Saccharomyces cerevisiae S288C: one gene and its partner. The protein of the gene in region 1 binds, or shares a complex with, the protein of each later gene. Each region holds a gene or a part of one and is shown on either strand. Other genes may lie near its edges. A codon is read from its position in the direction of its gene.

Region 1 (3,958 bases):
AGAAATTTGGAAAATTTTTCAACCTCATCGAAAATTTTCAGAAAAGCAAGAATTATTTATGCTTTCGCAAAAATTTCGCATATAAGTTATTTTTGAAATAGCAGTCGATACCAAATTAGCTGTAGAACCTCAACCTCCTCATACAATGGCTTACGTTTTAACTGAAACTTCAGCTGGTTATGCTCTTTTAAAAGCTTCCGATAAGAAAATCTACAAATCTTCAAGCTTAATTCAAGACTTGGATAGCTCTGACAAAGTCTTGAAGGAATTCAAGATCGCCGCCTTTTCCAAGTTCAACTCTGCAGCTAACGCTTTAGAGGAAGCCAACTCCATTATTGAAGGTAAAGTTTCTTCCCAATTAGAAAAACTTCTGGAAGAAATTAAAAAGGACAAGAAGTCGACCTTGATTGTTAGTGAAACTAAACTGGCAAACGCTATTAATAAGTTGGGATTGAACTTCAATGTTGTTTCCGATGCTGTAACCTTAGATATCTATAGAGCTATCAAAGAATATTTGCCAGAATTGCTGCCAGGTATGTCTGATAATGATCTAAGCAAGATGTCTTTGGGTTTAGCTCATTCCATCGGTCGTCACAAATTAAAATTTTCTGCTGACAAAGTTGATGTTATGATTATTCAAGCAATTGCTTTATTGGATGATTTAGATAAAGAATTAAACACATATGCCATGAGATGTAAAGAATGGTACGGGTGGCACTTTCCTGAGTTAGCTAAGATTGTTACTGATTCCGTCGCTTATGCGAGAATTATTCTAACAATGGGTATCAGATCCAAGGCTTCTGAAACAGATTTGAGTGAAATCTTACCAGAAGAGATTGAAGAACGTGTCAAAACCGCTGCTGAAGTGTCTATGGGTACTGAAATCACTCAAACCGATCTAGACAACATTAATGCTTTAGCTGAACAAATAGTCGAATTTGCCGCTTACAGAGAACAGTTGTCCAATTACTTGTCTGCAAGAATGAAGGCTATTGCTCCAAACTTGACTCAGTTGGTTGGTGAATTAGTTGGTGCTAGACTTATCGCTCATTCAGGTTCCTTAATTTCCTTGGCCAAATCACCAGCTTCTACCATCCAAATATTAGGTGCCGAAAAGGCTTTATTCAGAGCTTTAAAGACCAAGCATGATACACCAAAGTATGGTTTGCTATATCATGCCTCTCTTGTTGGTCAAGCTACTGGTAAGAACAAAGGTAAGATTGCAAGAGTTCTGGCTGCTAAGGCCGCTGTCTCATTGCGTTATGATGCTTTAGCTGAAGATAGAGACGATTCAGGTGACATTGGTCTAGAATCAAGAGCCAAAGTAGAAAATAGATTATCCCAATTAGAAGGTAGAGATTTAAGAACTACTCCAAAGGTTGTTCGTGAGGCTAAGAAGGTGGAAATGACTGAAGCTAGGGCCTACAATGCAGATGCTGATACCGCAAAGGCTGCTTCTGATTCTGAATCCGATTCTGATGATGAAGAGGAAGAAAAGAAAGAAAAGAAAGAAAAGAAGAGAAAGAGAGACGATGATGAAGATTCCAAGGATTCTAAAAAAGCTAAGAAGGAAAAGAAGGACAAGAAGGAAAAGAAGGAAAAGAAGGAAAAGAAGGAGAAGAAAGAGAAGAAAGAGAAGAAGGAAAAGAAGTCCAAGAAAGAGAAGAAAGAGAAGAAATAAGGATGCATTTTACATTTTAATAATTAGTGACCCCTCGCGTTCCCTTTTATTTGGATTTAGAAAATTTTCTATAATTATCCAATGCTTAACCTATTTCTCATTTCATATTTTATTCCATAATCTGTAAATTAGTGCTGTACGCCCATATTGAATTGAACTTATTATTTTTTTTAGGTGATATATTTGAAATAGTATACATAATTTATGTTTACATAGTTTTAGGTACTTTATATCATTAAAAGTTTTGTTTAACCTTTAAAAAATTTGTACCATTAGCAGTTATAGGTATTCATATCGTGAACTGCGCAACTTAAAATTATTCGCGGGACGAAAAAGATATACAAAATTTTTGAAAGTGAGCAAAGGATGAGATGGTGCAATCGTTACTATTTGATATTAATAAAAAGGCAATCATCACATCAACCCTTAATTAATTTATGAACAAAACGGAAAACCTTTCTATTGAGGAGACAAATGAAATAAGGGAAAAGCTGGGTATGAAACCTATTCCAGTTTTTCAAGAAAAGAATACAGACCATAAAGAGTCTTTGTCAATCGAAGAGACGAATGAGTTGAGGGCGTCCCTTGGCCTAAAACTTATCCCACCCCAACAAAATTTCAATTCTTCTCCCCCTAATGTACATAACACATCCAAAATCGATGAACTTCGAGAGAAGATAACAAAGTTTCAAAAAAAGGCGAACGCTCCTTTACGAATGGCGCACCTTCTCGAAGAAACTAATGTAAATGACGACAGTTCATGGCTAGAAAACATGGATGCAATTCCTTCCTCACATGAATCCAAACGTTCCAGCACATTGCCAAGAAAAGGCGCCACGAAGGAAGACGAAAATATTGATCTGCATAATGTTCAAGTATCATATAATATCGAGGCGCTTAGCCCAAAGAAAGATACGATTCTAACTTTGAAAGAGAGCAGTATTTTTGATGATACTGATTCTACCGAAGTGTTAGAGAATGTGAAAGCTGCCGAGGAAAACGCTGATAGAGAGAAACTACGATTACGACAAATGAATAAAGATAGAAGACAAAAAAAAAAAATTTTAAATGTATCTAGCTTAGATATTGAAGAAGAAGAAGAAGGAGAGAAACACTCAATTACAACTACACATCTAATCATCGGAGCAGAACAGGGTGTTATGAAGGCACCGAATACTATATCAGCAAAACCACCAACGGGAAAAGTTAAAGTGAATTTCGATAGCGCAAATAATATGTCAGATGAAGATGGTGGAGACTTTAAACCTTTAAAAATTAAAAAACGTAAGATCAAGGACCCAAGATCTACTAAAGCTAGGAAGTCAAAAATTACTGATAAGATGGAAATTGTTAAGTTAGTAGATGAAGATGAAAGTTTATCCTGGATGGAAGAAGAACAGCCAGTCACCATAATAAATCCCAGAACAAGCTCAAACAATGAATTGAAAGGGCCAGAGGACCTCGCTAGAGAAATTGAAAAGGCAAGAGACGAAGAGAAGCGACGCACTGAAAGCATTTTGAAAATGCGTGAAATTTCCAACAGTATTGTCGTCGACGAAAAGGTAACTTTTTTAAATACTTTGGATACCAGTCTCTCCGAACGAAGTGCTACTGAGAATAAAGTGAAAGTGCATGGTGAAGGAGAGAAAAATATCGGAGATGTTACCAATGGACATACTAAGGAAGGGAGTGGAAACAATACACTGACTGAAGCAGTTAATAATGAACCAAACTACGAGGGAGATGCTGAAAATGCACCGAACTTTTTTTCTGGTCTTGCATCAACACTAGGATATCTTCGGAAAAAGAGTGTTTTCACCACAGGAGACGTCGATTTGAAACCAGGAAAGGATGTTAATAATAGTGAATCACTTCGAAGGGATGTCCGAAATAAAGAGCATACGGGCACTGGCACTTATACAAAAGATAAGCTACACGGACTGGAACAATTCACATCTAGTGACTCTTCCAATGCAAATACTCATTCAAAAAGACAAGATCATTATGATCCTGACATAAAACTGGTTTACAGAGACGAAAAGGGAAATCGACTGACTACTAAGGAGGCATATAAAAAACTGTCACAGAAATTTCATGGTACAAAAAGCAACAAGAAAAAGAGAGCAAAAATGAAATCCAGAATTGAAGCAAGGAAAAATACCCCTGAAAATGGTAGTTTGTTTGAATTTGATGACAATTAACCTAATCAGCAAATTCTACTAGCCCCAGCTTTTAATATTCAATATCTTGTTTTTCTCAAGTTTGAAACCTGTGTAT
Region 2 (2,722 bases), on another chromosome or scaffold:
GAGCCCATCAGTTATGTAACGAAGGTTACCAGATATATTTTGATGGATTGGTTACTACTGTATGGTCGGCGCCAAACTATTGTTATCGGTGCGGCAATAAAGCATCTATTCTGGAGCTGTATAGTAAAGATCAATTCTACTTCAACGTTTTCGAAGAGGCACCTGAAAATAAACTGTTGAAAGAGAACAGTATGAACGACAATGCCTTAGAAGATAGCATATCTAATCCGGTAGCCAACAGGAAATTGATTGCAGATTATTTCGAAGACGACTCTGCCTCCGCAGATGGCTCCACGGACCCTGAAATGTACATATTTTCAGATGTATACCAAGCCAGATCTGCTTCTAACAGACATGTTGATTACTTCTTGTAGCTTACTAAACAATAGAAAAGCATTATAGAGACAACGCCATCTTATTATTTCTACATATTCTATCTCTCTCGGTTGCAAATGTATGTATTGTGTATTTAGATCAAAAAAAAAAAAACAGCGCATTTTCTACAGGTAATACAGCTCCAAATTTGTCTGATCATGTACCTCATAATCTTCCAGAGAGATATGGTCTTTTAAAACACTTCCACCCTTCTGCAACACAATTTTGTTTGGTTGGGTGCCAATTTGCAAGGACAATACTTTTTTGAAATCACCTACACTATCTTCAGCAAGGCACTTCACTCTGACTTTTTTGCCTAATCGGTCATTCACAACTACCTCAATCATTTTCAGAGTATTTATTTGCAATCTAAGCTTTGCCACCGCTCCTCTTTCTCAATCTTTTCCTCTCCCTCCTCATCTCTCTCAGCCAAAACCGCGAATATATAAAAACAAGCAAGTCTCCCGTAGAACTTTTACACGATGACCTTTCGAGATTTCACAAGGGGGATAAAGGAATGCTGTCCGATACAATTGACACAAAGCAACAACAGCAACAGCTTCATGTCCTGTTCATAGACTCTTATGATTCATTCACCTACAATGTAGTGAGACTAATTGAACAACAAACTGATATCTCACCGGGAGTCAACGCCGTGCACGTGACGACGGTACATAGTGATACGTTCCAATCTATGGATCAGCTATTGCCACTTTTGCCGCTTTTTGATGCTATCGTTGTTGGCCCAGGACCTGGGAATCCCAACAATGGTGCACAAGATATGGGTATAATATCTGAGCTTTTCGAGAATGCCAATGGAAAGTTAGATGAAGTTCCAATATTGGGTATATGTCTTGGGTTCCAAGCAATGTGCTTGGCTCAAGGTGCTGATGTCAGTGAGCTAAATACTATCAAGCATGGGCAAGTGTATGAAATGCATTTAAACGATGCAGCCAGAGCTTGTGGCCTTTTTTCTGGTTATCCCGATACGTTCAAATCTACGAGGTACCATTCATTGCATGTCAATGCCGAAGGCATTGACACCCTTTTGCCCTTATGCACAACCGAAGATGAGAACGGTATTCTTTTGATGAGTGCTCAAACGAAAAATAAGCCATGGTTTGGCGTACAGTACCACCCGGAGTCATGTTGTTCAGAATTGGGGGGGCTGTTAGTCAGTAACTTTCTCAAGTTGAGTTTCATAAATAACGTGAAGACAGGAAGGTGGGAAAAGAAGAAACTTAATGGAGAGTTTTCCGATATCCTATCTCGATTGGATAGGACTATTGATAGAGACCCCATATACAAGGTAAAAGAGAAATATCCGAAGGGCGAGGACACAACTTACGTTAAGCAGTTCGAGGTCTCTGAAGACCCGAAATTGACATTTGAAATTTGCAACATCATACGAGAAGAAAAATTTGTCATGTCATCTTCTGTGATTAGTGAAAATACGGGTGAATGGTCTATCATTGCTTTACCAAACTCCGCATCCCAGGTATTCACTCATTATGGAGCTATGAAAAAGACTACAGTTCATTATTGGCAAGATAGTGAAATTAGTTACACCTTGTTGAAAAAGTGTCTAGATGGTCAAGATTCGGATTTGCCTGGCTCCCTTGAGGTAATACATGAAGATAAATCCCAATTTTGGATCACTTTGGGTAAATTTATGGAGAATAAAATAATCGATAACCACAGAGAAATACCTTTTATTGGAGGTCTTGTTGGCATTTTAGGTTATGAAATAGGTCAGTACATTGCATGCGGCCGTTGCAATGATGATGAGAATTCCCTTGTTCCCGACGCCAAACTAGTTTTTATCAACAATAGTATAGTCATTAATCACAAGCAAGGGAAGCTTTATTGTATTTCTCTGGATAATACATTTCCAGTGGCATTAGAACAATCATTAAGGGACAGTTTTGTTAGAAAGAAGAATATTAAGCAATCCCTGTCCTGGCCCAAGTATCTTCCAGAGGAGATAGACTTCATTATAACTATGCCCGATAAACTTGACTACGCTAAGGCGTTTAAGAAATGTCAGGATTATATGCATAAGGGTGATTCTTATGAAATGTGTCTCACAACGCAAACCAAAGTTGTACCATCTGCGGTGATAGAACCCTGGAGGATTTTCCAGACCTTGGTACAAAGAAACCCGGCTCCATTTTCAAGTTTTTTTGAGTTTAAAGACATTATTCCCCGCCAAGATGAAACGCCTCCAGTTTTGTGCTTCTTAAGTACTTCTCCAGAAAGGTTTTTGAAGTGGGATGCAGACACATGCGAGCTACGTCCCATCAAGGGAACTGTGAAAAAAGGACCGCAAATGAACTTGGCAAAAGCC

The links. The genes of interacting proteins can lie anywhere in the genome.
Region 2: the proteins of SNU66 (region 1) and HUB1 are in contact, whole or in part, in a crystal structure (PDB 3PLV), measured with the Saccharomyces cerevisiae proteins. Residues at the interface, in NP_014953.3 of Saccharomyces cerevisiae: Ser37 (codon at 2,227), Leu38 (codon at 2,230), Ser39 (codon at 2,233), Ile40 (codon at 2,236), Thr43 (codon at 2,245), Leu46 (codon at 2,254), Arg47 (codon at 2,257), Leu50 (codon at 2,266), Leu52 (codon at 2,272), Lys53 (codon at 2,275), Leu54 (codon at 2,278), Ile55 (codon at 2,281), Pro56 (codon at 2,284); in NP_014430.1 of Saccharomyces cerevisiae: Met1 (codon at 722), Val14 (codon at 683), Arg15 (codon at 680), Lys17 (codon at 674), Cys18 (codon at 671), Leu19 (codon at 668), Asp22 (codon at 659), Asp26 (codon at 647), Lys29 (codon at 638), Val30 (codon at 635), Leu33 (codon at 626), Gln34 (codon at 623).

The regions. Positions count from the first base shown.
Region 1 is NC_001147.6:894,548-898,505, reverse strand, and holds SNU66 (U4/U6-U5 snRNP complex subunit SNU66), read left to right. Parts: upstream 1-2,118; coding exon 2,119-3,882; downstream 3,883-3,958. Other genes in the region: RNA-processing protein NOP58, read left to right, coding at 146-1,681. UniProt on the Saccharomyces cerevisiae protein: Component of the U4/U6.U5 tri-snRNP particle, one of the building blocks of the spliceosome. Required for pre-mRNA splicing.
Region 2 is NC_001146.8:686,743-689,464, forward strand, and holds HUB1 (ubiquitin-like protein HUB1), read right to left. Parts: upstream 723-2,722; coding exon 501-722; downstream 1-500. Other genes in the region: putative serine/threonine-protein kinase PPG1, read left to right, coding at 1-374; ABZ1 (4-amino-4-deoxychorismate synthase), read left to right, coding at 893-2,722. UniProt on the Saccharomyces cerevisiae protein: Forms conjugate with SPH1 and HBT1. Involved in morphogenesis.